3 linked regions of the Rhinolophus ferrumequinum genome follow. The protein of the gene in region 1 purifies or fractionates together with the protein of each later gene. This does not show direct contact. Links are inferred from orthologs where the notes say so. Each region holds a gene or a part of one and is shown in the gene's direction. Other genes may lie near its edges.

Region 1 (9,726 bases):
CCCCTCATAGGCACCCGCAGGAGCCAATTATCCTAAAATCCAGGTGCAGGAGGACAGAAGGAACAAAAGCTTTGTAGCCACTGCCTGCGTTCTCTGGGGCCCACCCGAGCCAGAAGTGGGCTAGAGACAGCTGCCAGGCCTGCCCAGGAGAAGGAGGCGCAGGGCGGTGGGCCCGGCTGGCTGAGGAGGAGCTGGCAGCAGCTGCAGGACACGGAAAGTGGAGAAGACGTCCTCAACAAAGGGCTGCTCAGGACCCTCAAAGGGTCGATTGTTCTAGTAGAGGACTGCTGAGGGCTTGGTTTCGCAGACAGCTGACCTCAACTCTCAGCAAGAAATATAAATTACACGGTGACCCAGTAAAGAGGCACCTACACACCACATCTGAAAGAAGCTTCCTGTAATAATAAGCACAGGCAGCACTTACACAGCTCTTGCTCTGTTTCCGGTCCCGTCCCAGGCATTTACATCTCTAGTAATTTTTTTTTAACCCCTAATAACTCTATGAGGTAAACATTTATTATTATCACCTTCATTGTATCAAACAGGCCTGGCCAATGAGACCACAGCGTGAGTCAGCAATGGAGATGTGACCGAGGTTGGGCCAACCAGAGACACAGTGATTGGTTCCTGGTAAGAATGTGAGCAACCCTGGGCCGACTGGAGCCAATCTGCGCTCTTTTGCTTGAAGCAGTGGGACAAAGACGCTCTCTTCAGTGGGAGCTGCTAGGCTGGCGGGACTGGCATTTGGAGCTGCCAGGAGCTACCTTTACCCCAACACGCAGGAAAGCAGCCAGAGAGGGTTAAGATTTTTGATAACATGGAAGCCCCTGGACCCAGCCATGCTGAAAGCTGGATTTCAGTTAGGGGGTCAACACATTCCTTTTTTCTGGCTTAAGTCAGTTTGAGCTGGGTTTCTTGTTACTTGCAGAAAAAAGGCGTGAATGGTTCAAGTGGCTGGAGCTGAGAAATCACTTGGGGCCAGGAGGGGGGTAAGTGGCCCAAGGCAGGTGGGGGACTTACAGCGCTCGCTCAGCATGTAGCGGGCCACCCCTTCCAGGGAGAGGTCGTCCAACAGACGCTCCTTCTGGGTGCCCAGGCCCAGCGTCTGGGAGAACAAATTCCGCAGGAAGTCCACTGGCCAAAAAGAAGAGAGGGGGCGGCTGAGTGGGTGTCAGCCGGGGTGCACAGAGGCCCTGAGTGCCCCTGCCCCAGCCCAGGGATCCTCTGCCTTCCCACAACTCAAGGCTCCATGCCTAGCCCAGCCAGGGGCTTCTAGGTGCTGGCACAGAACCATTATTACATACCTTGAATGAGGTGAGGCATGTCACCCAGACCCCTGCCCTACACGGCCCCCCACCAGAACCGGCCTCCCAAGGAAGATACTCACTCTCCGCTTCTCCGCCAGCTGCTCCTCCCTCAGTGTCTGAATCTGAGTCCTGGAAGGGGTGGAGGTGGGGTGGCCAGGCCCAAGAAGTGAGGTTAGGGAGTAGGGGGTGGGGTGACAACCCAGTTTGGGAAAAAGGCCCTGGCTGGGAGGTGGGCCTGAGGAAGTGCAGGGCAATGGAGGAACAGCTCTGGGGGGCAGTGTGGGGGCTCTGGGACAGGCTGCCTGTGCAGGGGACCTGGCCTGTCACTCCCAAGGAGCATAATCTCATGCGAGTGATTTCATTTTTCTGAGTCTCCGGGGCGCCTCCTCTTGGAGATGGAGCTCAGAGGGTTCCCCTCAGGAGACTGTTGTGAGATGAAATGAGTTACTGTGTGAGGTGCTCAGGACAGCACCCCGCGGGGTAAGAGCTCAGGAAGCGTTAGCTGTTGCTATTTCATATGCCACGTCCCTATCCTCCCCCTGTATCTCTCCTTGTCCCCTGTAGTGTAGGCTGCTGCCCCTTCGCAGCACCCCGCAGCCCTCCTCACCAAAGGCACTTCATAATCATGGAATAATGCCGGTGAAAACACCTCGGTCCTCACCCTGCGTCTGGAAGCCCCAGATAGCCTTTGCAACCTCTCCATCTCCTTTATCAGCTCTGCGCATTGGCCAGGCTCCCAAATTGCAGGTCTTGGAACTCTGTCTAGGGCTCTCCCTGCTTTGTCTCTCCACCTTCCCTGGGCGAGCTGCCTCATCCATGTCAGTGATGATGCCACCTCTCTGTCCCCTGATGCAGGGTTCCCATGGCCTCCTGGAGGCTTTCCCCTAAGGGGTTTCAGGCCCCTCACTCCCACTATGTCCCAACCTGGCCTCAGCATCTCCCCCAAGCTTGCTCCTCCACCTGGGCCCCATCCAGTGTGGCCTCCCACCTCCTTCCCCTGCCCTCCCACCATATTTGTCCCCTCCCCAGGGCTCTACCTGGTCCAGTCTGTCCTCTCCCCACAGAGGCCCTTGTCCCAGCCTCCTCCCTAGGCTGCCAGCCTTAGTCTCCACCTGCAATCTACTCCATGACCCTCCGCATGATGGCCTGTCTGGGACGGCCCACTCCCCTCCACGGTCCAGGCCCTTCTCTTTGGTGTCTCCAATCTAATCACATGATCACGGACATCTACAGGGTCCACCATGAGGTCAGCTCCACGAATGCAGGTGTTTTTCGTGTTCGCCACTGAATGTCCAGCACCAAGAATAGGGTCTGACACCTGGCAGGAGCTCCAGAAGTATCCACCACTGAATGAATGGATACCTGCTGTACACTAGGCTAGGGCTGGGCCCTGCAATGGATCCCGTGTAAACGCAATTCTCACCCACTCACTCTCCTGCTTAAAACTCCTCCAACAGCTCCTCTCCCTCATCACACACTATCTGGTTCCAAGTCTTTTTGAATCGGAACCTCCCTCCCAAACATTGAAAATTTTTTATCGCTCTTTAGATTGTATAAGCTTTGTAAAATGTCTGACTATTAGACAATGTACAACTTGGGGCACCTGCCTCATAATTCCCACTGCCAGTACCCCGTTGAGATAACCACTATTAACAGTACAATGGTAATTACTTCAGATTGTTTCTCTGCATGTAAAACTCAGTATTTTTCCAGAAAGGGGTCATACCATAGCACAATGCAGCACCGTGCATCTTCTGCAGAACAAGATATTATAGACCCACCTCATTCTTTTAAGCAGCTGCTTAGTGGTGCATTGTAAGGAGGCCCCATAGTTCATTTCACCCATCTATGGACAGCCACTTGGGCGGTTTCCAGTTTTGCCCCATATGGACAATGCTGCAATTTACATCCTCAAGTCTCTCTCGTTGGGACTGAGGATCCTTTTTAACATTAAACCTTTTCTCTGACAGTGGTCCTGCTTTGGGAGCCAGGCAAGGGAGAAGCCCTGGCCTGAAAGGAAGCTCTTATACCCTCTGCTGTGAATCTATCTGTGAGGTGCTTTAACCACAGCTTCTGCACTGCCTACATCTGAACTGCGATCTCGCGGCTGTGGGGGGCTGGCATTCTTTCAGGCCACAGACAGTGAGGCTCTGTGGATAGACTCAAGGGCCCTGCCCAACACACGGGAGCAACTCGGCCTAAGCGGGAGCTGGAGGTACTGGCAGGGCCTTCAGGCCTCTGTCTGGCAGCCTGTCTACCCCTCTCCGAAGCATCTGGAAAGCAGTGTGCTGGGTGCTGTGAGTTGTAAGCCTTTCTCTGCTCTTCTAGCCAAGGGACAGAGGACAGGATACTTAAGAACTCTGCCTCAAATTCCTCATCGATAAAATGACCACAATAGGACTTGACCCCCACAGGGATGCTGGGAAGATGAAATGAGATGATGCCCATAAAGTACCAAGCAGAGTACCCGGCTGAAGTTAAGTACTCAATAAATGCTAACCATGCATATAATTAGCTGACCACCCCAGCCAGTGCCTACTGCACACATCACATTCTTCCATGCTCCCAGGTCTTTGCACGAGCTGTACCCTCTGCATGGGACACCATTTCTCACTTTGCCTAAGAAAATTCGAAGTTGCTCTGCACATACTACGATGTGTCTCTACTTCAATCTGACCCCTAGACCAGCCTGTAGATTCCTCCAGGGGAGGGACTGGCGGGAATCTCTGGGCTCCCACAGTGCCCTGAGCTACCTACACAATCACCCCATAGGGTCATTTTCTAGTCACTTGTCCATGAGATCTGTGAGTTCAGGGACTAAATTGGATGTCTGACTCCTCCAGGACCAGCATAAATAAGGTTCAGAAGGGAGAGGGCGGGCAAGGAAAGAGGAAAGTTCAGGAGGGCAGGCCTGGGGCTGAGGCTGCACCCCCTTCTCTGACAGTCCCCTGAATCCACAATTCCTCAGGAGGCTGAACTGGGAGGTGGGGCAAGGGGTTGGGGTAGTGAGCTGAGGGCCCTGGGGTAACTCTCCCCTCTGTCCCCTCCCCCCAGGGGAGTGGGATGTGGGAACAAGTGCATCTCTCTCCTTCCCTCCACCCTTCCCTCATCTCACCTGAGCCTCCTGCACCTTCCCTGCCTGGGTCTCCAGAGGGTCAGAGGCTGGGGGAGGAGGGGGAGCACATGTGGTTATAGTGGAGGGAATCGTTAAGGGGTTACGAAGGGCTTCAAAGCAGGGGTTGGGGCCGGGCAAGAAGACCCACCAACCTAGTTATACTGCGGTAGAGGGTAATGGTAAAAATGGAGTAAAAGGAAGAAGGGGATGGGGAAAAGCAGAGTGGAGAGTGCCGGGAAGAGAGGTGGTTAGTGAGGGGCAAAGGAGCTGGGACAGGAAGGATTAGGAGAGGAAGGAGAAAGTAAAGGATATATGGTATAGAGGAAACCTTAGGAGGAGTTAGGAAGGACATAGTAATAGTATGTGAGCGTGTTTGCAGGGAGGGTTAGGTTTACAAGCAGAGATAAGTTTAGAAAGAAAGAGAGAAGAGATACTCCGACTGGAGGTGGATGTGGGAGACGAGGTGCGCTGGGGATGGTATGTTTAAGAGAGGCACAGGAACTAGAGGGAAGAGATAGGAAGGGACACCAGGGGTCCCCTAGCATTCTACAGTACCCCCTAACAATCGGGTACCCTTAGCAACCGGGACCGCGGCAACCTAAGTCCTTAGCAACGAGGGTCTTTGGCAACCCAGGTGCGAGAAACATGCGATCGTTAGTAACTTGGGAGACATGGCAAACGAACCCTTAAAACCTCGAGACCCAGAAACCCACAAACCTAGCAATATGGATCACTTAGGAACGGCCCCCCGAACCCCACTCCTCCCCAGGCAGCCCCAATTTCCTGCCCACCACGCCCGCCCTCGGGTCCCGGGGCCTGCAGCCCTCAGCCAGGCCCCGGCTAGGCCCGACCCTCCCACCGAAGCCCCCGACTCACGGTCCGGCTCGGCCATGGGCGCGGGGCGGGGGCCCTCGGGGCTGTCACCGACTGCTCGGTCCCGTGACGGCACCGGAAACAGGAGGAGCAGAGATAGGGTAGAGAACTACAACTCCCAGAAGTCATCGAGGACGCATACACGCTTTCTCACAACCTCGGCGCGCGCCCCTCTTAGGTAAAGCTACAGGCGAGCCGGACTACGAGTCCCGAAATGCCCAGCGCCGGCAGCCATGTTGGTAAAGGGCGCCCGGAAAATATGAGAACGGGTCGAGAGAGTACATCTGAATACTCTGATTGGTCACGGTGTGGTATGGGGCGGGGCTAGAGCTATTTAGCCCACTCTGATTGGATGAGCCAGGGGGGAGTGTTGGGGAATTCCCCGCAGGGCGGAAGCGCCAGTGCTCCAGGGAGAGCCCAGAGACAGGCGGGCGGCCGCGGGGGCCCCTGAGGCTTCGGGGGCCATGGCCGGGGTCGCGTGCTTGGGGAAAGCTGCGGATGCCGACGAATGGTGCGACAGCGGTTTGGGCTCTCTGGGTCCCGACGCAGCGGCCCCGGGAGGACCAGGACTGGGTCCGGAGCTGGGCCCGGGGCTGTCGTGGGCACCCCTAGTCTTCGGCTACGTCACTGAGGATGGGGACACGTGAGTGAAACTTAGGCTGCCAAACCGGGCTCTAGGATACGACATCTGATTTCCTATTAGTCTCTATCTCGGCTTCCCAACCTCTCCTAAATCTGACTTCTGATGCTTGACTTATTGATCTGTATGTAACCCACAGGTCCTAACCTTTAAAAACACCAATCTACTATCCAATTTTGATCCCAACGCAATAATTTCTGACCTCCTTTCTTGAACTCTGGATCTCAGAGTTCCACATTCCTATCCATTGATCCCAAAACTCTATTTGGTTTTCCTGACCCCAGTTCTGAGACCTTTATTAGAACTGTAGCTCAAGCAATCTCCTTCTGACCTTTAACCTCTCCAAATATGGTCTTTGATCCTTAGCTCCTGATTTAGGAGCGTTAGACCTTGATTTCCAAAATTAATACTTGGTCTTTGACTTTAAGATCCCATCTTCTGTGCACTAATCTTTACATCTCATATTCAAAGAGAAAATGTAAGCTCCATGGTAACAGGGATTCATCTGTTAAACAAATATTTGTGGAACACTACCATATTCCAAGCCCTGTTTCAGGTGCTGGTGATAAGACGGTGAACAGACAAAAATTTACACCTTATGCCCTGTAGAGTGTACATTTGGGGGAGAGGGGTATATAGACAGAAAGACTGACAGAAAGATAGGAGGAAGGAAGGAAGGCAGGGATGGAGGGGAAAAAAGAAAAGAAGGAAAAAAGGGAGAGAGAAGGCAGGAAAGAGGGGGAGAAAATAGAAAAAGAAAGAACAAAGAAAAGGCAGGAATAAAAAGAAAGTAAAGAAAAAGACACAAAATAAGAAGGAAGACAGGAAGAAACAAAGAAAACCAGAAAAAGAAAAAAGAAAGACAGGAAAAGGTAGGCCAGAAGATAGTAAGTTCTTTGGAGAAAAATCAAGCAGGAAAACGAGACAACCAGATTACTGGGGAAACCACTCTGGGTAAAAGAACAATGTTGGAAAGGCCCAAGTGAGGGATTGTACCTGGGGTTTTTGTGTGTTGTTTTCTGCTGTATCCCCAGTGACTGAACAGTGCCTGACCCATAGGTGGCACTCAATAAACATTGATCTCAAAGAACCCACTTGGCTTCATTAATTCTCTAAGTCTCTCTCTCTCTCTCTCTTTCTCTCTCTCTCTCTCTCTTATTGATCTCTGTTCTGACTTCCATTATTTTCTTTCTTCTGCTTACTTTGGGTTTAATTCTTCTTTTGCTAATGTCTTAATGTGGAAGCTGAGGTCATTGATTTGAGACCTTTCTTCTTTTCTATTATAGGTGTTGTGTGCTATAAATTTCCCCGCGTATTGCTTTAGCGGTGTTTCACAAATTCAGACATGTTGTGTTTTTATTTTCATTCAATTCAGCATACTTTATACTTTCTCTTCTGATTTCTTCTTTGGCCAGTGGATTTTTTAGAAGTATGTTAGTTTCCAGATATTTGGAAGACTTCCCAGATACTTTTCTTTGATTGATTTTTAATTTAATTCCATTGTGGACCTAGAACATAACTTTGTATGACTTGAAAGTTTTTACATTTATTAAGAGTTGTTTACTGGTCCAAAATATTGTGTGTGCACTTGAAAAGAATGTATATTCTGATGTTGTTGGGTGTAGTGTTCTCTAGCTGTCAATTAGAGGTCATGTTGATTTATAGTGTTCCAGTCCCCTATAGCTTTGCTGACGATTGCTGTCTACTCGTTCTATCAATTATTTAGAGACGGGTATTGAAATCTCCAATAAGAATTATGTATTTGTCTATTCCTCCTTGTAGTTTTATCAGGTTTTGCTGCATATTATTTGACACTCCATTATCAGGGGCACAAATGTTTAGAATTATTCTGTCCTCTTGATTCATTGACCTCTTTATCATTATGAAACAGCCTTCTCTATCTCTGGTAATATTACTTGCTCTGAAATCTACTTTGATATTAAAATACTTCCTACTGCTTTCTTTTGACTGATTGGTGTTAACATGATATGATATAGCTTACTCCACCTTTTATTTTTAACCTCTTTTTTAATATTTATATTTAAAGAGTGTTTCTTGTAGGCACATATAGTTGGGTTTTACTTATTTGGTCAATCTGACAATTTCTACCTTTTAATTAGAGTGTTTAGACAATTTGCATTTAATTATTGATATGGTTAGGTTTGAGTTTATCATATTGTTACTGGTTTTCTACTTATCTCTTCTTTGTTTCCCTTTTCTTTTTCTCCCTTCTTTTGGAACAAGTACATGTTGTCCCATTATATTTCTTTTGTTGGCTTGTTAGCTTTAACTTTATGTTTTGTTATTTTAGTGGTTTCTCTGCAAGACAGGGATGGCAAACTCTGGTCTCGAGGCAAAATCCAGCCACTTACCTGCTTTTGTGTAGCTGTGAGTTAGGAATGGTTCTCACATTTTTAAATGGTTGAAAACAAAAAAAAGAAGAATATTTTGTAGCCAGTGAAAATTATATGACATTCCAATTTCAGACTCCATAAATAAAATTCTGTTGGAATATAGCCCCAATCATTCGTTTCCATGTTGCCAGTGGCTGCTTCCACATCACCACAGCAGAACTGAGTAGATAAAAGAGAGAACACATGATCCACAAAGCCTGACATATTTATCTGGCCCTTTACAGAAAATGTTTGCTGACCCCCGCTTTAGAATTTATAGTGTGGGGAGCAGCCGGTTAGTTCAGTTGGTTAGAGTACGAGCTCTTAACAACAAGGTTGCCGGTTCGATTCCCACATGGGATGGTGGGCTGCACCCCCTGCAACTAGATTGAAAACTGCAACTGGACTTGGAGCTGAGCTGCACCCTCCACAACTAGATTGAAGGACAACTTGATTTGGAGCTGATGGGTCCTGGAAAAATCACATTGTTATGCAATAAAAATTAAAAAAAAAAGAATTTGTAGTGTGGAGCTTTAACCCTTGAGTGATGTTATGCCACTTTGCATGGAGTAAAAGAACCTTAGACTACTATTTCCATTTGTCCCCTCCTGGCCAAAGCTATTGTGGCCATACATTTTACTTACATGTGTTATAAACGCCACCATACATTGTTATTATTTTTGTTTAAACAGTCAATTATATTTAAAAATATATCTTTTAAAGAAACATAACAAGAAAAAAATGTATATATTTACCTATTTTACCTATAGTGTTACTGCTTTCAGTGTTCTCTAATCCTTTTTATAGCTCCATAATCCCATGTGATGTCATTTTCCTTTTGCTTGCAGGTTTCCTTTATCATTTCTTATGGTGTGGGTGCTAGTAATGAGTTCTTTCAGGTTTTGTGTATCTGAAAATGTCTGTATTTTGTCTTCATTTCCACCCCCCTTTTTTCTGCCTCCCCGCCCCCACTCCGGTTCAAGCCATTGTTTCTCAGTCTAGTTGTGTAGGACACAGCTCCCTGACCCATGCTGGTATATGAGCCTTGTGCTCCCCCCGGCTGAGGCGGTCGGTCGCAGGTAATCGGTCGACCCTCACAGCAGCTCCCACCAGCCACTCACGCAGGTTGCCAGCCCCTCACGCTGGCGACACACATGCTCCTGGCAGCACACAACCTTGGCGTTAGGAGCATGGCTCGCCAACCACCTGAGCCACCTGGCTGGCCCTTGTCTTCATTTTTGAAAGCTATTTATGTTGTGTTAAAGCATTCAACTTTGATAGTCATTAGCTTTGAGTACGTTTACAATGTTGCTCCATTGCAGTTTTTTGCATTATTCCCTAGGCAAAATATGCTGTCATCCTTATTTCTAGTCCTTTCTGCTTAAGATATCTTTTTCT
Region 2 (9,732 bases), on another chromosome or scaffold:
TGTATGAAAGGGCTCCTCGGAAATGAGAACAGCCTGATGTGGAAAAGTACTGACATGAAGCCTGCAACTCCCACACTAGTTTAACCTCTTCCCTTCCTTCTTCCCCGAGTAGTCCAGACCATGCCTAGTTTCTACCCTAACCAGAAGACTCGTGACCCTGACCCTGGGAAACTTAGGACTCTGACTACACTTCTAATCTGCACTTTTCTGTATGAGTGCAGAAAAGCCTGGATCTACACTCAGGTAGACACTAAGGCCTTGATGACAGCTATGATGTCTCTGTTCCACCATCTGAACAGAGCTCTGCCCCACAAGCTCTGCTTTAGAAGCTTCTATGTGTTTCCCTGTGGGGGAGAGAATGTTGGCTGCTGCAAAGAAGTCCGAAAACCATCCTATGAAAAAAGGAATATGGCAAGTCTGTGTTGGTCTGCAAATATTAGATGAATGAAGCTGGAGTGATTGCTAACTGATCTCCCTGCCGGTAGCAAAGAAAACCTGTGGGAAGTCTCATTCTGTTACAGAAAGATCAGCTGACATATACAAGGTATGATCAAACAATATGGTGAATGTTTAAATTACTACAGTAAAAGACACATTGCCATTAACTGGGGGGGGGTGGAAGAAGGAAAAAAAAGAAAAGCTACAAATGCCCCTTGACTCAAAATGGGGATATGTTCCAATAAACCCATCATAAGTTGAAAATATCATGAATCGAAAATGCATTTAATACACCTAGCCTACCAAACATCATAGTTTAGCCTAGCCTACCTTAAATGTACTCAGAACACTTACATTAGCTTATAGTTGGACAAAATCATCTAACACAATGAATACAATGTAGAGTGCTGGTTGTTTACCCTTATGATTGAGTGTCTGACGGGGGCTACAGCTTGCTGCTGCCCAGAATCACAAGAGAGTATCATACAGCAAGCGTATCGCTAGCCTGGGAAAAGATCAAAATTCAAAGCACAATTTCTACTGAAGGCGTATCACTTTCACATCACCGTAAAGTTGAAAAATCTTAAATTGAACTGTTGTAAGTCAGGGACTGTCTGTACATATCTTTTCTGTAGCTTCTCATGAGAAATAAAAGGTTGACCATCTGAAAAACAGGCTATTACCTAGTAAGCTAAGAATTCATTAGAAAACTGGAAAGAGATATACACAACCAAGAATAAATGTGAATTTTCTAAGCACATAAAACAATGATATTGGGAAGAATTAATTACTAGGTAAGTTTTGGGGGAGTTGAAAGTTGTACGTGGATTTTTGACTGGGGGGGCATCAGTGCCTCTAAACCCCTGCATTGTTCAGAGGTCAACTGTACAGAATTAGCTACAATGGACAGCATTGCTAGGAACAACAGAAAAATGTGGCTATTCCAGCTCTCAGTATATACCTTTGCTTAGGGCTCACCACTTAGGAGACAAATGGCCTTGAGGAAGCAGAACCCCCCCTCAGTTCCTGGGCTTCAGTTGAGAAGGAACTTTAGTTCAGGTAAACAGTTTATCACCCCCTCCTTGAAATACTCTTCACTGGTTTCTGAGATACTGGCCATGCCTTTTCAATTTCTTTTGTTTTCTCTTCCTCATCTCCACAGCCTCTGAACATGAGCACGCCTCAGGGCCCAGCTCTTGTCCTCAAGTCCTTTCTCTCTACTCAATTGCTGGGTAACATCCACAGTCAAGACTTTAAATACCATCCATTGCACTGACTTTATGTCCAACCACCCACATCATCTCCACTTGCATGCCTCATAGGCTCTCAAACATAACAAACTTCAAAGGAAAAATTCTTGATTACCCCCGCTAGGAATCTGCTCTTCTCCCAGTCTGCCCCATGTCACTAAAGGACAACTCAACCCCCTCTTTTCTCACATCCTACATCCAATTCCTCAGCAAGTAGTGTTGCTTTTATCTTTCAAATTTATGCAGAATGTGAATACTACGTCCCACCATCCTCACCTACTACCACCCAAGTCTAAGCCACTACTGGTCTACCGATCTCCCTCTTATATTCTAGTCCCATGATCTGTGTGCTGTCCACACAGCAGCCAAAATGGGCCTTTTTAAAACGTCATATCATTTTCACTCCATTGCTCAAGTGGCTTTCCATCTCATTCAGAATAAAATGCAAAGTTCTTACTTTATCCCACTTACCTAACCTTGCTTTTCTTCAAATATGCCAAACACATTCGTATCAGATCTTTACACTGCTAGTCCCTTCACCGGGAATGCTCTTCCCCCAGATATTCACACAACTCATTCCCTCAACTTTTTTCACGTCACTGTTCAAATGTTATCAGAAAAGCCTGCCCTGTCTGCTACGTATGAAACCCTTGTCACTCTTGACCCCCTCCCCTTGCCCACTTTTTCTCCATCATACTGATCACCCTCCCCTTGCCCACTTTTTCTCCATCATACTGATCACCAACTGACATACATTCATTTGACTTTTATCTGCAAACAAAGACACTGATTTCTAGAGTAGGCCCTCACTATTCATTGGTGAATGAAGACAGTGAATTTATGGTGTGTCTGCTTTGGGCCAGGTGCAGTGCTAGCCTTAGGTACAGAAACAGATAATCATTCGGTTGGAAATTAGTGAACAAACAATGGGTTTTCTAAGCCCAGATAGATGAGGCTATAGAAACTGACTATAAACTTTGAGTCAGTCAAAATTTCCAGGTCAACATCAAGAATTGTTGGAGTTGATTGATGGGTACATGGGGGTTTATTATACTCTTCTCTCCATTCTTTATATGTCTGAAATTTTCTATAATAAAGGCTTTTTTAAAATCTTCAGATAAATGAATTATAGTTCAGAATCTTATAACTAAAATAGCTAAACCTTAGGGGTGCTTTTAGAAACGTGGAAACTAGAAAAATTCATGCCAATTTGAGCTGGTGGTTTATGAGCATTTTAAAGGGACAGTCGTGATCAACGGTGATCAGCACAGGTTCACTAAGTTAGAATATTCCAAACTAAGCTCCCATTTTATTTATTTTTTCAATTACATTCTACATTCAACATTATATTAGTTTCATACGTACAGCATAGTGGTTAGACATTTATATAATTTACAAAGTGATCCCCCTGATTAGTCTAGTACCCATCTGACACCATACACAGTTATTACAATATTATTGACTCTATTCCCTATGCTGTACTTTACATCCCCATGACTATTATGTAACTACCAATTTGTACTTCTTAATCCCTTCACCTTTTTTACCTAGTCCCCCCACCCCTCTCCCATCTGGCAACCATCAGTTCTCTGTATCTATGAGTCTGTCTCTGTTTTGTTTTATTATTTATTCTGTTCTTTAGATTCCACATATAAGTGAGATCATATGGTATTTGTCTTTCTCTGTCTATTTCACTAAGCATAATACCCTCTAGATCCATCCATGTTATCACAAATGGTAATATTTCATTTTTTATGGCGAGTAATATTCCATTATACATATATATACCACATCTTTACCCAATCCTCTATCGAGGGGAATTAGGTTGCTTCCATATTTTAGCTATTATAAATAGCACTGCAGTGAACATAGGTGTGCATGTATCTTTTCAAATTAGTGTTTTGGATTTCATCAGATAAATACCCAGAAGTAGAATTGCTGGGTCATGAAGTAATTCTATTTTTAATTTTTTAAGGAACCTCCTCTCTGTTTCCCACAATGGCTGCACCAATTTGCAATCCCACTAACAGTGTACGAGGGTTCCCTTTTCTCCACATCCTCACCAACATTTGTTGGTGGATTTATTGATGATGGCCATTCTGACAGGTGTGAGGTGATAGCTCATTGTGGTTTTAAATTGCATTTCTCTGATGATTAGTGACTTTGAGCATCTTTTCATGTCTGTTGGCCATTTGTACTCGTATGTTCTCTGGAGAAACGTCTATGCAGGTCCTCTGCCCATTTTAAAATTTAACCTTCCATTTTAATTTAAGGGTTAAGGAACTGATTTACCAGGGGAATGTCGTAGACAGTATCCCTGGATTTTAGCAAATTGTTTGATGGTATCTTATGATAATCACTTGAAAGGCCCACAGTTGGGTGGAAAGGCCTGCTTTATTTTATATGAATTTCTGGGGAAAGCTTCATCCCAGAGCTAACAGACTGGGTTTGAATTCTCACTCTGTCCCTTTCTAGCTAGAGGTGTTACTTCACCTCTCTGAGACTTAATTACTTCATCAGTAAAGAAAGGTAATATTTACCTTCTAGGGTTGTTGGGAGGAAGAACAAGAACTTACACTGAAGTACCTTAACATAGTACCTGGCACATTCCATTTGTGGGCAAGATGAAGAGGAAGGGGAAGTAATAGGAAATAGCCCAAATCAAGGGCCATAATAGTCTCCCTTTATGCATAGCTAGTGCAGGCCTGTAAGTCCATTATTTAGAAGGTCAGGAGGCAGTTGCAGGAAAGATCCGAAACAACAAACAGTCTGTGTTCCACTGTGAGCCCAATGTAGGACTCCAGGAATGGAGATTACTCATGGCACCTTCTAAAGAGAAATTCTACCAACCAGAGATGTCCGGCCTGGGAGTCAGTACTTTGTGAAAGTGACCTTGCTGCCACTAGAAGTGTGAGGCATACTTTGGGAACTATATAAAAGGCAATTTCCTACATCAGAGGAAGTTTGAACTATTAAGATTGTGGATGTCTTTTTAACTCTTAACATTCCAAATCTCCGTGATGGATGAGCACAGCCTGAGTCTCTCAGATAAACACCTTATTTCCCTCCCAGCACGGAGCTCCTGAGCTTAGGTCTTAAAATCTGGCCCTCAGTAAACCTGCCGTTGATAGAATAAGTTTAGGTCCAGATGGTCTTTTCCAGGGGACAAAGAGTTAGAGACTGAGTAAAAGGATTACGCGGTCTCCTTGCGGCTCCAAAGGGGGGCCGCCAGATGGCACCCTGGGACCGACTGAAAGATCAGTTTCCTTCCTCTTCCCCTAACTTCCCGGCAACGGGGCCCCGCTCCGGGCGGGGGACAGGAGGACTTGGGCCGGTCGGTCAGCTTCCCCCTGGGGTTCCCCAATTCCAGAGGTGGCCAAGCGTTAGGCGCAGCGTAAGCCGAGTAGCAGCGGGGCTGCCAGCCGTCTGAGGCAGGCCTGAGTGGGTGAGGAGACTGGAGTCGGGGCGTCGACAGGGGGATGGTGCTCGCTCAGCGGATCCCGCCTGGGACTGGTCCCCCCACCAGAGCCCACGCCTGGCTGACCGTCATACCCACTCCCGATTCCCCGCGCTGCGCGAATATTTGCCCCCTAAGGGGAGCGCCTGAGTCGCTCCGGATTGGTTGTGCGCGTCGGGAGTTAAACTTTCAGCCAATGAAAAAGGGCATGGGGCGTGACGCACGGCAACGTCACGGGAATTCCCCCCTCCCGGGGGCGGTAAAGGGGCTTTCCCCACTAGAGCGCTGGTGGCTGGAGAGGTGTCGCGACCCGTCCCAGGTGGGTCGGGCCGGGAGCTAAGCCGGAACCGGAGCCGCCGCCGCGGTGAGTGGCCGGGTTCAGACCCCTGGGTGGCCAGGACTCTGGGAAGGGCGGGAGGAGTGTGTCCTAAACTGAGGGAGACTCAGAGCTGGAGAAAGCATATGCACACACACAGAGAGCACGCACACGAACAAGACACCCGGATACACATCGACATCCTTGTACAAAACACGCGGACTTGTACGTAAGCCGGCGAGTGTACAGTCCATCACTCAAACTCGCACACAAATGCACACGCAAACACGCTCACCCGTGCACAGGTGAGCCTGGACCCATACCCTTCACGCACAAACTCAAATATATGCTCACCTGCGCCTCTACATATCAAGATATGCTCAGACATGTGTACACACTGAGACTTTTAAGGACACTCACCTGTACACAGACATGCTCAGCTGCACACGCATGTTGACGCCATGCACACACAACACGCACGCAAGCACATGAGCTGACTCACACTTGTATACCTGTGATGGAGACACACAAGTATTACAAACGGCTTTGGGACTGGGGCAGGGGCGTGGGCACCCAAAACTCATGTGGCGTGGGAGTCAACGGCTATCGAGGTGTTTCGAGGAGAGGGAACAGAGGAACCCATCCCAAGGAGGAGACACCTTTCCTCCCCTAGCTCCGCGGCCCAAGAGACTGGTTCTCGGGGCAGAACCCCTGGGCCCCTCGCTGGGAAGAGCCCCCGCCTACAGGCCTTCGGGGAGGCGGCCTTCCTACAGCAGGAATGTCCCCCCAAAAGCCCCCGGGGTGAATCAGCCGTGGCCTCCCTCAGGGTAGAAAATCCCAAGGTTACTCCAGGATGGGGGAGGTGAAAGGGGCGGGAGGTAGGACTGGCCCGGGGCTTGGAGCCTCTCCCAGCCGTGAAAGACCTTCCGGTCCCCGACCCCTGCTCTGCAGTGAGGAGAGGGGCCCAACCCTCACGGGGGCTTCGCTAGGTCTGGTTGCCCCTCTGCCCACAGACAAGCTGCGAGTGTCCACAGGCCAGCGCCGCCAACCTGGCGCCCCTCCCGCCGCGGGGGCGTGGCCAGTGGCGTCATTTCCAGGCCCGCCCCCTCCGGCCCCGCCTCCCCCCTGGTATTTTCGGGACTTTCCTAAGCTGTTCTAACTTTCCTGCCCCTTCCCCGGCCCGGCCCAGCCCAGCTCCCGATCTCGCGCTCCACCGGATCTCGTCCGCCACACCCGGACGGGTGGCTGGAGGAGATCCGACCCTCCTCCAAATCTGGGCCCCCCTCTCCTCTCTACTCCGGTCCTGATCTGTCTTTCCCGCCCCCCTGCCACTTCCCCCCACCCCCCAACCCCGACCCAAGGCGGGCGACTGAAACTGGGAAAGAGAACCCGGCCGGAGTCGCCACACAGTCGGGCCTAGCCCAGAGACATGGAGAGTTGCTACGACCCAGTGAGTCACTCCGCCTGGCCCCAAACCCGGCTGGCTGACCCCCTGTGTTTGTCTGGTTGTCTGCGGGTCTGTCGGAGTCCCCTCTGCTCCCCTACACCTGTAGTACCTTCACTTTATCTCAGCCTGCCTGTTGGTCTGTCTGCAAAACTGCTTCCAATGGGACCTCTCTTATGGACCTGGGGAGGAGAGGGGGTGATTACTGAGGGCTTAGAGAGCTGGGAGGTGGAGGACTCTGGGGGTGGCTCCGAATCAGCTGCCATCCCATTCTGTCTCCAAACCAGGATCTGGATGGCATCATTGAATACGATGATTTCAAATTCAACCCATCCATTGTGGAGCCCAAGGAGCCAGCCCTAGACACAGGTTGATAAGTCCTCTGACCTCCCCTGGTCTTAGAGGGAGGGGGAGGGAGGAGTATGTGCCCTCTGCCTTGGGGATGGGTCAGAGAGCCGGGATCAGCAAGGCCCCTCTGTCCCCAGCTGATGGACCATACCTGGTGATTGTGGAACAGCCTAAGCAGGTGAGTGAGGTGGAAGGGATGGTGTGGGATGGCTTCAGCTTTGAGGGCAGATGGGGTAGTTGTAGCTGGGTGGCCCTGGGGAGGGTCACTGACCACAGAAGCCACGTTGCGTTGGGATGGTTGTCCGCTGCTGAATCAGTAGTGTGGTTGTGGTTCAGGACAGGCACTACCAGTCATTATGGTCACTGCTGGCAGGGGGTATGGCTGGCTGGGGGGGGGGGCCTCCTGGTCACAATGTCACTCTGCCCTGGAATCTTCAGCGAGGCTTCCGATTTCGATATGGCTGTGAAGGCCCCTCCCATGGAGGACTGCCAGGTGCCTCTAGTGAGAAGGGCCGGAAAACGTATCCCACTGTCAAGGTGAGCAAGGGTGGTGCTTGAGGGTGGGCTAGTGGACAGTGTGTCCAGGGGCATTACTGACAGCCCTCACCCCTCCTAGATCTGTAACTACGAGGGACCAGCCAAGATCGAGGTGGACCTGGTAACGCACAGTGACCCACCTCGTGCTCACGCCCACAGCCTGGTGGGCAAGCAGTGCTCGGAACTGGGGGTCTGCGCCGTGTCTGTGGGGCCCAAGGACATGACTGCCCAGTAGGTGTCCCCCACCCCGGCCCCCCCAGTGGTATGCCCCCTCATTGCCTGCCAGTCCTAGGCCCCAGCCCACCTCTCTGAACTTAGCGTCTGACCAAGGGGAAAGACTTAGGTTGGCCCTAGAACCCAAGGCTCCAAGTAAAAACCAGAAAAGCTTCCTAGAGGAAGTAGGGCTGTGCTGAGCCTGGGCAGTGGGGTGGGGGGGGTGCCTCAGGAAGAAAGAACTGTCTGCAAGATCCCTGACTCCCCCTCCCTCACCCAGATTTAACAACCTGGGTGTCCTGCATGTGACCAAGAAGAACATGATGGAGATCATGATACAAAAACTTCAGAGGCAGCGACTCCGCTCCAGGCCTCAGGGCCTTACCGGTATGGCGGGGAGGAAGGGGGCCATGGGAGGTGTTCTTGGAAGGAATAGAGGAGGAGGTGTCCAAGGGTCACGTGTGTCACCACCCAGAGGCTGAACGTCGGGAGCTGGAGCAGGAGGCCAAGGAGCTGAAGAAGGTGATGGATCTGAGCATTGTGCGACTGCGCTTTTCTGCCTTCCTTCGAGCCAGTGATGGCTCCTTCTCCCTGCCCCTGAAACCTGTTATCTCCCAGCCCATCCACGACAGCAGTGAGTATCCTGACTACCTGGAAGGCAAGGCCTGGGTGTCAGAAAGAGCATGGGAGGCAACCTCAAGCTGTGGAGTCAAAAAGGCCTGAGTTTGAACTTTGCCCCACCATGTATGAGCTCTGTGATCTTGAGCAAGTCATTTCCCGTCTCTTGAGCATGGCTTCCGTCTTGGGTAAATGAAGATACTAGAGGTTCCTGTATCTCGTGGTGCTGTTCAGATAATGACACAAAGCACCTGGTTCCACAAATAGGGCCTTGACTCCTACATCATCTCAAATAATTGATATCTCTCCCCCATAGAGTCTCCTGGGGCCTCGAACCTGAAGATTTCCCGAATGGACAAGACAGCCGGCTCTGTGCGGGGTGGAGACGAGGTTTATCTACTTTGTGACAAGGTGCAGAAAGGTGAGGCTGGAGCCCAAGCTGGGAGCTAGGGACACTGAGTGTAAAGATTGAGGGCCAGGGAAACTTCAGGACAAATGGCCCTGGAGATTCCACTAGGAGCTGTGGCCACGTTTCAATTTTCCCTGTAGATGACATTGAGGTTCGGTTCTATGAGGATGATGAGAATGGATGGCAGGCCTTTGGGGACTTCTCTCCCACAGATGTTCATAAACAGGTACCTTAGAGCTGGGGCCAGGCCTGGGGGCCCATCTAGGCCAAGGCCTCGGTGACACCTTACATCTTCCTTCTGCCCCAGTATGCCATTGTGTTCAGGACGCCACCCTATCACAAGATGAAGATCGAGCGTCCTGTAACCGTTTTCCTGCAACTGAAACGCAAGCGTGGAGGGGATGTCTCTGATTCCAAACAGTTCACCTATTACCCGCTGGTGGAAGGTGGAGCTGGGCTGAAGATCCTAGGGTGGCTGGAGTGTGGGAGCTGGGTGCGAGGGACCCAAGAATTAGATCAGGGGACCTGTGAGTCAAGTTAGGAGTGGGGAGGGTCTCAGGAAGAAGTGGTCCTAGGAGCCAGCCTGAGGGCTTTGGGAGAAAGGGCCATTACCAACCTTGGGACAAGGATCTTAAGGATTGGCCCATGAGTTGGGATTCTAACGTCTCATTTCCCTCTGCCCCCAGACAAGGAGGAGGTGCA
Region 3 (10,222 bases), on another chromosome or scaffold:
AAAATAGTTGCAAATCATATATCTGATAAGGGATTAATATCCAGAATATTTAGAGAACTAAAACTCAACCAAAAAACAAATGTAGCTCCAAAATGAGCAAAGAACTTGAACAGGCATTTCCCCAAAGAGGATATACAAATGGCCCATTAGCATATGAAACATCTCTGATTATTAGGGAAACAAATCAAAACTACAATGAGATATCTCCTCACACCTGTTAAGGTGGCTACTTTCAAAAACATAAAGAATAAACAAGTGATGGTAAGGGTGTGGAGAAACTGGAACCCTTCCTTATGCCCTATTGGTAGGAATGTAAAATGGTACAGCTGCTATGGAAAATAGTATGGCGGTTCCTCAAAATTTTAAAAATGGAATTACCATATGATTCAGCAATTCCATTTCTGGGTATATACCCAAAGAATTGAAAGCAGCATTTCAAACAGATATTTGTATACCTATGTTCATATTAGCATTATTCATAATAGCTAAAATGTGGGAGCAACCCAAATGTCTACCAACAGATGAATGGATAAGCAAAATGTGATATATACATACAATGGAATATTATTCAGCCTTTAAAAGGAAGGAAACTGTGACATGCTATAATATGGGTGAAACTTGCGGACATTATGTTAAGTGAAATAAGCCAGCTAAAAGAAGACAAATACTGATGATTCCGCTAAGTAGGATTCCACTAATGTGAGGTACTTAGGGTAGTCAAAATTATAGAAACAGAAAGTAGAATGGTGGTTGCCAGAGGCTTGGGTGAGATGGAAATTGGAGTCATTATTTAATAGATATAGAGTTTCAGTTTCACATTTGAAAAGAGCTATGGAGATGGATGGTGGTGATGGTTTCACATTATGAATGTATTTAGTACTACCGAACTGTACACTTAAAATTGTTAAGATGGTAAATTTTATGTATATTTTGCCACAATAAATAAAACCCCAAAACTTGGTACTGGTATATGAACAGACAGACAATTCAGTGGATCAAAACAGAGGGTCCACAATAGACCTAAATATATAAGAGAATTTAATGTATGAAAAAGTTGTCATTTCAAAGCAATGGAAGAAATATAGATTAAATTTTGAGCCTGTGAAACTGGGAAGTATTTTGGAAAAAATATATTGGGTATCTATCTAACTTCTTACAACAAATTTATTATCAAATGAATGAAATATTAAAACCTTTTGAAACCAAACTATAAAAGAAGAAAACATGGAACATGCTGTCCATAGAAACCTGTTTTAAATATAAAAATACAAATAGGTTAAGAGTAAAAAGATAGAAAAAGATGTATCATGCAAACACCAATCATAAGAAAGCCAGAATAACTATTTGAAGATCAGGTAAGTGGACTTCTGGACAAGGAATGTTATGAGAGATAAGGAAGGACAATTCTAATGAGAAAAGGGTTAATTCATTAAGAAGAGATAATAAGCCTGAATGAGTATAATCCTAGTAACAAAGATTCAAAACAAATAAAGCAATGAAACTGACTGAACTGAGAATTTCTAAAGACTTAACAGTATCCACCCTTAAGAGTGTTCTTTTCCATTTTTGTGTTCCTCCTAGCAAGTAATTCCTGAGGCCAAGCATTGTGTATTTTTATTCTTATATCTTCCAAATTGTCTTGGGTAGTGTTAGAAGGCAGATCGCTTAAAAGATCTGAAAATTTTTGGAGTCAAATTTGACAGTGTATTAAGATTTAAAAAAAATGTTCATGCTCTTTGACTCATTAATTCAAATCCTAGGATCCCAACCAAAGAATTTATCCAAAAAAACCCAAACAAAGTTTTTATGCTTAAAAAGTTCATGTAATGTTGCATGTAACAGTGAGAAAATTGGGAATAGCCCAAGTGAGCAACTAAAGCATTGGATGTATAAACCCTGTGGCAACATTCAATGGACTATCGTGTGATTTGAGAAAATGCTTACAAGATTATTTAAAAATTTTTAAAAGGAGGATACACAATTGAATACAATAATGTATCAGTTATATAAACATATGCAGATATGCAGAGAGACAAATCTAGAAAGGAATAAAACAGAATGTTAACAATGTTTGCCTCTAGGTGGGGAAAGGATCATGGGTTACTATAATTGCATTCTTTATATTTTTCTGTATTTTTCCCAATATTGGACATCAAAATTGCTTTGATAATTATTGTAAATCTAAAAAATGTTGGGAAAAATAAAAAAATCTGAGTAAGCTAAATCTAACACGATTAAACTTAGGCCTCACATAAAGCTCTGAATCTTTGTTTTTTAAAAAAAATCAGGGATGGGGTTACCAGTTAGCTCAATTGGTTAGAGCGTGGTGCTAATAACACCAAGGTTGCTGGTTCAATGCCCGCATGGGCCAGTGTGTGCGCCCTCCTTAAAAAAATAAAAAAAATAAAAAATGCAGGGATAATGTGACTTAGCAGAAGCAAAATCAAGAATTTTGGTTTATCAACCCTAAACAACTTAACTGAACAGTGTAGATGCTAAGAATAAATTCACATATTGGTTTCATTAAGAGAGGCATGGCAAATAGCAGAAGGGAGGAGATGGGTCCTCTTTATTCTGTGTTACCCAGCCCAGAGTTGGAGTATTGATCCATGTGGTGCTCCAGTTTGAAAAAGATCCAGATGTACTAATGTATGTCCCAAAGTGGTGACCAGATGAAGACAGACCTAGGAACTCTGGTGTGTGAAATAGCTGAGGGGCTGGAAAGAGTTGCTGAGGAGCAAAGGAGCAGGTCAGTGGAAAGTATGGTCAGAGTAGTCAGGCTTTTGAAGGGCTCAGGGCAGAGGAGTTGGTCGTGTTCTGTGTGGCCCTAGAGAAGCAGAACTGGCACCACAGGTAGAAGCTACAGAAGGCAGCTTCAGCTCCATGTAAGGAAAAACCTAGCCAAGGTGAAAAGTCTGCCTTATAAGAAATGAGTCGTCCATGTCTATAGGTGTACAAACAGAATCTACATCAGAAATATGAAGGAAGAGAAAAACAGAATGGAGAACAGAAGAGTGAGACAAACACAGAAAAAGAAACAAAGGGATAAAAAATTGAGGCAGAGGCAGAAGAAAGGAAGAGAAAAGATGAAATAGAAGAAGAAACATTTTTGACAGTACACAATGAGTGGCTACAAACATACTGTGGGATCTTGTCTGCCTTTTCAGGCCTTCATTAGCGATATCTTGAAATGCCAGCAGATGGAGATATTACCCCAGGAAAGGAGGATTCTGCCTCATCCCTTACTTTCAAAATATATATCAAGTTTTCCTCTTCTGAAAAATGATGCTAAGAGACAACTCCAGAAGTCGATGAATTTCCAAACCAAATTTACAAACAAACATTTATGGTAAATTCTGCCCGTGATTACCCTGATTCGAATTTAGAAGAGGTCACTATAACTTTTTGTATTTTGGTCACTGACTGAGTGACCAAATATTGTCCTGTCCCACTTAATGTATATGTGTATTTATATGTATATGGTGTATATGTGTTTTGAATCATTGCGAAATAACTAAACAACATAGTCCCGGTCTCAACCATCCTGTCATTAACACTTTCCTTCCCCAGATAGAATCTCTGTCACTTTGAATTCTTGCCTGTGGTAATTCTGGGAGTCTTTGCTCTAACTCCATATGTGGTACTCTTGGCTCTTTCACCCAGCTATAAACAGCCAATTCTGAGGACTTGAACAGACTTTGTCTGACTGGTAAAGATGCACCTTGAAAGGGAAACAGTCTTGTACAAGAGTGCTTCCCAAGCATAAAGTGCACAGAAATCACCTAGGGATCTTGTTAAAAGTGCAGATTCTGATTCAGATGACTTGATAGGGCAGGAGATTCTGCACTGCTAACAAGTTCCCAGGTGATGCTGCTGGCCTGAGGACCACACTTTGAGAAGCAAGGTCATACAATATGTCCCTTTATCAGGAGGGGCCAGGACACTTCCCTCATGAACTACAATTGACTCCTTGTAGACCCTCCTGTCTTCTTTGTCACCCCTTAACTTTGATCTAACTGTTCATATTTCATTCAACCAGTCAACACATACAGAGAATCTACCATGTGTAAACACAATGCAAGTTCATTTTAACCAATATTATTAAGTATCTTGAGTTCCAGTCCCTATGCTAGGCTCCTAGGATTAGTGATGATTCAGAAACCAGCTTGATGGGGTTCCCACTGCCTAATCTGGGAAAGTTTGAACATAAAAATAAAAATAAATGATAGTAGCATATTCTAATCTACTGAATAAAGTAGGAACCCATAAATTCATACTGATATAATTAATGAGTGAATAAATCAGAAGTATGATGAACAGGATACGATTTACTTAGTCTCTAAGTACCTGCATACAAAATACTTATTAATTACAAAGGAGAAAGAATAACATTACAGTAGTAAAGCCTGATTGATACCACTTTAATTAAGTGATCAAAGTTAATATAAACAGTAATGGGACAAATTGAAATTGTGTGCCACCTGATAGGATACAGTTAGAACAGTCTCATGTTTGTGATATTCCTGCCAACAATGCATAACCTGAAACTAATCACTTGGAAACATTAGACAAACCGAGACTGAGCAACATTCTACAAAATAACTAGCCTGTAATCTTTTAAATTGTCAAATTATGAAAGTCAAAGTAGAGTAAGGAACTGTTCTATTAATAGGTTGAAGGAGACTAAAGAGCTATGACAGCTAAATGCAACATGTGAGTCTGGACAGGATCTTTTTGCTATAAAAATATTAAGATAGTTGGTGAACTTAAATGGAGTATGATGATTATATGGTAGTCACATATCAATATTAATTTCCTGATTTTGATGGCTGTATGTAGTTATTTAGGGAATGTCCCCTTCTAAGGAAATGCTATAGTCTTCAGGGGTGATGAGTCATCAGGTTGACAACTTACTCTGAAAGGTTCAGGTCAAAAACAAATTCTTTGCACTGTACTTGCAATGTTCCTGTAAGTTTGAGATTGGGAAAAGCATTACAAGTACTCAAAGGGCAGCTCAGTGTTAGGGTTATTCAAAATATCCTGGGTGTGTGTCTGGAGGAGATGAATCTTAAAGGAGATTGCAGAGCAGAGATGAGTCAATCCGAGTTCTTGCCCTGCAACAGTACTTGCCTTTGACAGGGCAAAAGGGGCCTCCTCCTGGGTCTATCCTTAGGGATTCTGCTTCGGCCCTTCTGCTTTGATAGCTGCCCATGTGGAGGGTTGAATCTTCAGGGACTATGGGACTTACCCATCAGATCCAACTTCCCGCCTTCTAGTCCACCGGAGAATCAATCCCTGTCCAAATGCTCTTGAGCCTGCTGAGCCTCTCCCAGGGTCCATCCTCCCTGGGTTGGTTGGACCACAGGTGTATGCACGCCTGGGCCTGAGGAATGATCAGGGCTAGAAGCTGTTTGCATGGTTGTGGACGAAACTTGGATTTAAGGACTGGATGTCCACGTGTGGATGGAGGCCCTAGAGACCAACTGCTCTCTTGCCAGCTGCCACATTTAGCTGGGGCTCAAGGAGTGCCTCTCAGAGAATTCTAAATTTGAAGTTGGCCTTTCAGGTCTGGTAGTATATATTTGTCACCATAGGGGAGATAGATCATACTCTACGTAGATCGTGCTGAGCAGGAAGAAAACCCACATGACTGTTAGGCAAAAGCAGCACGACTTTTAGGAACTTCGGACCCTTGTCCCACACAACCCTTCTTGCCCAGGCGGAGCGCTGAGCCAATCCGGTGGAGCGCCTCCGAGAGGCCGTCCAAGGATGAGGCGGGGCACAGTGTAGAGACCACGCCTCTGTGCGGAGAGGCGGGGCGACAGGCAGGCGGGGATTGGTGCGCCTCCGCGCTGGGGGCGGGAGCGCGGAAGGAGCGGTGTCTTGTGGGCCACGCCTGTTCCGGCCCGCTGTGCTACCTCGGAGTGTGTGGCGACCCGCCGGTGGCTCGTACTGTCTTAACTCCCGGGCTTGGCGGCCGTAGAGACGAGATGGCGGCGGAAGTGTTGTCGAGTGCGAAGTGGCTGTACTGTGGGGAGCCCGACGAGAGCCAGAGAGCTGTACTGGGTAAAGACTGCGGAGCTGGAACTGTTCCTCATAACTTCCGCTCCCGTTTCTGTACCTTTACAGCCCTCCCGCCCCCCCCCCCCCCCGCGCCGGACCCCTTTCCCAGCCGCGCCAAGAGCCCCTGCCACTCCCCACCACCCTCCTTTGTCCACCACTACTTGGAACTCGGCCAGGGCTCCTTTGTCATCCCACCACGTTTCTGCCGCTACCTCCCTCCCTGCTGAGGACGTCCTGTCACTTCCTCCCCAGGACTGTACCCAGGATCCTGTCATCCTCTCACTCCCGAGGTCTTAGTCCTGTTCCATTTCATTCTCTCCCCTGGGCAGGGATTCCATCGCTCTCTAGGTCTGGATGAGGCCTCCTCAGTTGGCCCCATCCCCCTAGTTATTCCTTACTGCCGCCGCCCCTCCCCAGGACCCCCTCACCTCCTCATCCTCTCTTCCCAAGTGGACCAGGACCTTCTTCAGTCCCACTTCAAGTCAGGACCTGGGCTTACTTGCCATGTTCATTTTTCCAATCACTCCCTCCCACTGACAGTCCAGTTCCTCCCACCATACCTTGTGGGTCCTTCTGATCTCATCCCGTCTGGGAATGTGATCTTACAGTCCAGTTCTCCAATGGGAAGCTGCGGGATCCAGGCAACATGCGCTTTACCTTGTACAAGAACAATGACTCCACAAACCCCAGGAAGAGGACCCAGCGGATCCTGGTAAGTGCTGCAGTGGCCAGTTGCCTCCACTCTGCAGGCCTCAGGACCCCTTGAGTGTGGGTCGATGTGGGAGGGAGTGAGAGGAGAAAAGGGGGAAATCGCAAATGAGCCTTTGAAGAATTCTTCTGAGCTCCAGCAGGTAGGGGTGTGGGGACAGGCTCCATTCAGTTCCATACTTTGGGTGAAGCGATAGCCTTTCATTCATTTGTTCATTCAACAGCATTTATTGAGCATCCACCTGGCCACACTCTGCGGGAGCTCGTATTCTAGAGCAGGGTTTCTTAACCTTGCTGCTATTGACATTTTGACCCAGATAATTCTTTCTTGTGGGGGCAGCCCTGTGCATCACAGGATGTTTAGCAGCTTCCCTAGCCTCCACTCACTAAATACCAGTAGTACCTCCTAGTTGTGACAACCTGAATGTCAGATATTACCAAATGTCCCCACGAGTGGGAATTCCCTGGGTTGAGAACTACTACTGCTCTAGAAAGGTCTTTGAGATTTTACCCAATCTCAAAGACAGAGAACATTGCAAGTTCAGTGCTTACAGAAACTTACAGAAACATTGCAAGTACAGTGCAGAGAACTCTAGAGAGTTGAGAGCTGGATGTGAGGGACACTCATACAAACAGACAAAGCTTAGGGCCGAGGGAGGGAGAGTACAAGGCACAGTGAGCTCCATCAACATCTCTGCTTGCTAGAGTGTCTCCCTGGGAGGGCACATGGAGCTGAGCTCGGAAGGATGGAGGAGGGTTTGACAGCTGAGGTTTTAGTATTCCAAGTGAAGAGAATAGTGAGGACAAACATTGTGAAGCAGTAAAGCTTGGCTGTGGTTGAGAAGTGAATCAGCCATTTCCATGGTCCTATGAGCATATAAGGAACAGTCATGAGAGAGGTGGGCAAAGAGGTTCAAGAAGGGTATGGACTGTGAACCCAGGAGGTTGCCTGCAGAATCAGTTTATTAATGCCTGTAAGTGTGGAGAGTCCAGGGTCTGTCTTCCAAGTTCTGCGGTGCAGCTTCCCCAAAAACTTTTCAGACCAGCTAGAAGCCTGCACAATCTGCAGCTTCCCTTTCAAAAGTCCTCTTGCCTTTCCCCCAGGGGCATCCCAGATTCACTTAGAGATAGTGAGGCTGGATGTCTCCTAGAGGCTCTGTAGTTCTGATCTTCTGTAGTTTGAATTCTAAAGCTTTTTGCAAATGTGGAAAAGGGAGATTAGATGCTTACTACCTTTCAACATTGGTTGCAATGGAGCTTTTCCCCCTGTGCATTTTAGGCAGCTGAAACAGACAGACTTTGCTACGTGGGAAACAATTTTGGGACTGGAGCCCTCAAATGCAACACTCTGTGCAGGTAGGGACAGGGGAAGGGACAGCTGGATGGGGAGGGGAGTGGTGGTAGCAGCCCTGGTACTGACTGCTGTTCTGTGTCTACTTTAGGGGATGTTTACTTTAGGGGAAGTGGGGGAAATCTGGAGAGGTTTACCAAGTCCCTGTGTTCCCAGAAGCAGGGGCCGTCACAGCAGCCTGTAGACATTCTTGAAAAGAAAGTTGACTTACATTTGTTGAATTTCCTGAAGAAAACCTCATTCGTTTGTAACATTCTTTAAAAAATTTTTTAAATTGGGACATATAACATTGTATTAGTTTCAGGTGTACAACATAATGATCAGATAGATATGTGTGTAATGAAATGGTCACCAAAATAAATCAGGTTAACATCCATCACCACACATAGTTACACATTTTTTTTTCTTGTAATGAGAACTTTTAAGATTTTCTCTCTTAGCAACTTTCAAATATACAATACAGTATTGTTAACTATAGTCACCATACAGCACATTACATTTCCAGGACTTAGCTTTAACTGTCTTGTTTCCAAAAGGCAACTGTCTTCACTAATATGGAGTGTATGATCAGTAGGCCAAAGCTTGCCAGAAGTTTGCTTTAGGAGTAACTACAAGGAAAGGATTTGGTAGTGTCAAAGGCTCCAGGGTTTCTATGCAGCTCTGCCTCTGATTGACTGTCTGACTTTGGGCAATTTTAACTTCACTGACCCCCGGTCTCCCCTGGGGTACGATGAAGATTGCCCAGCCAGAATGGTCTATAACTTTCAGGGGCTGGTATAACGCAGACAGTGTCCCTGTGATGGTATCCAACAGTGAACCACAAACAAGGCCCTTGCAGAGCCCCACTGGACCCCCCTGATAGAAGTCAGATTAAGGAGTGTGTGCTTAAAACTATTGGCTCTGCATCATCCCTTTATATAAAGATTTTCTAGTTCAGACTGATCTCCCCGTAGTTACCAGAGCTTTACTTGTCTTTGCCTCCATAAAATGTATGTGTGCAGTAAGTTCTAGTGTAATTCTAGATTCTGACATCCCAGAAGGGTTTCCCACTATAGCAGTGAGCCCAGATATGATCGCCTGCCAGAATCACCTGTCGCTTTCTTTTTTCAGAAACACATCATGAACCCTCTCACCCCAGCCCCACGCAGAGAATTGCTGCTCTAGGGGATTATTCTTACTCCAGAGCAAGTGATGCGTTCCTTAGGTGTATTGGGACAGAAAGAAGGTTGAGAACTTTTAAGCAGGAAAAAGGAAGTTGTATAAACAATACCTTTGGAATAATCCATTATCATTGATATTTTTCTTTCTTTATTCAGACACTTTGTGGGCATTTTGAACAAGACCTCTGGCCAAATGGAAGTATATGATGCTGAATTGTTCAACATGCAGCCACTGTTTTCAGGTAGGTCCCAGTCAAGGCTTACAGAAATGCTGCATATTTTAGGTTTAGGATGAGTTTTGGATTTGGATAACTAAAAACACTTTTGTGATTATTTTTAAAAGGGTGTCTTTCTGCCAGGTTTTTTTTTCATTTGAACAAGTCTTAAGAGTGTTTTTACTCAACACATATTTATTGATGACCTACTATGCTCCAGGCACAAATTAGGGGCTGTGGATGTAGCAAAACAGTCACAGATCCTGCTTCACGGTGTTTACAGACTTGAGATCAGAAACTAATGTTAATTAAAGCAAGTTGAGCAATGATCAGAGCAGAATATTGGAGGGCATGTCTGATACTCTTTTTCCATTGAGGGCCTTTCTTAATTCCTAACTGTTCTAGTTGGGAAGTAGAGGTTTTAGAATCTCTGGCAGGTACTGGAAGTTACTTATATGGTGGTCAGTTGCTTTCATGTTGATGCAAAGTCTCTACACTTTCTAATTTGGGAAGAGATTCACTTATTTTTCCCTAATCCAGTCAGAGAAGTTGCATTGCTTCTCTGCTAGAGTGGGATCTTCCAAAATGATAGATAAGAGGGTCAGACTCCAGGGGCTCCTGTTCCCTAAATCTGAAGTACTGAGAACCATGGTGGGGGAGGGTGTTAAGTAAGTAAAGATGATGGTGAATCTGCCTTATAACTTCAGAGGCATTAGTTCTAACTC

Evidence for each region.
Region 2: the proteins of NFKBIB (region 1) and NFKB2 purify together in Homo sapiens (affinity purification with mass spectrometry; 4 studies listed by BioGRID and IntAct, counting the BioPlex papers as one, with this or other methods). This does not show direct contact. The link is inferred for Rhinolophus ferrumequinum from reciprocal best matches to the Homo sapiens genes NFKBIB and NFKB2.
Region 3: the proteins of NFKBIB (region 1) and POLR1E purify together in Homo sapiens (affinity purification with mass spectrometry; 3 studies listed by BioGRID and IntAct, counting the BioPlex papers as one, with this or other methods). This does not show direct contact. The link is inferred for Rhinolophus ferrumequinum from reciprocal best matches to the Homo sapiens genes NFKBIB and POLR1E.

Annotation. Positions count from the first base shown.
Region 1 is NC_046298.1:38,184,563-38,194,288, forward strand, and holds the start of NFKBIB (NF-kappa-B inhibitor beta), read left to right. Parts: upstream 1-5,670; 5' UTR 5,671-5,759; coding exon 5,760-5,938; intron 5,939-9,726. Other genes in the region: SIRT2 (NAD-dependent protein deacetylase sirtuin-2), read right to left, coding at 1,021-1,134, 1,388-1,436, 5,299-5,424. UniProt on the Homo sapiens protein: Inhibits NF-kappa-B by complexing with and trapping it in the cytoplasm.
Region 2 is NC_046299.1:22,619,042-22,628,773, reverse strand, and holds the start of NFKB2 (nuclear factor NF-kappa-B p100 subunit), read left to right. Parts: upstream 1-5,388; 5' UTR 5,389-5,509; intron 5,510-6,822; 5' UTR 6,823-6,890; coding exon 6,891-6,911; intron 6,912-7,192; coding exon 7,193-7,274; intron 7,275-7,390; coding exon 7,391-7,431; intron 7,432-7,691; coding exon 7,692-7,790; intron 7,791-7,869; coding exon 7,870-8,021; intron 8,022-8,283; coding exon 8,284-8,390; intron 8,391-8,478; coding exon 8,479-8,637; intron 8,638-8,937; coding exon 8,938-9,042; intron 9,043-9,170; coding exon 9,171-9,256; intron 9,257-9,337; coding exon 9,338-9,476; intron 9,477-9,716; coding exon 9,717-9,732. UniProt on the Homo sapiens protein: NF-kappa-B is a pleiotropic transcription factor present in almost all cell types and is the endpoint of a series of signal transduction events that are initiated by a vast array of stimuli related to many biological processes such as inflammation, immunity, differentiation, cell growth, tumorigenesis and apoptosis.
Region 3 is NC_046295.1:53,173,671-53,183,892, forward strand, and holds the start of POLR1E (DNA-directed RNA polymerase I subunit RPA49), read left to right. Parts: upstream 1-5,878; 5' UTR 5,879-5,990; coding exon 5,991-6,066; intron 6,067-6,671; coding exon 6,672-6,775; intron 6,776-8,050; coding exon 8,051-8,127; intron 8,128-9,438; coding exon 9,439-9,524; intron 9,525-10,222. UniProt on the Homo sapiens protein: Component of RNA polymerase I (Pol I), a DNA-dependent RNA polymerase which synthesizes ribosomal RNA precursors using the four ribonucleoside triphosphates as substrates.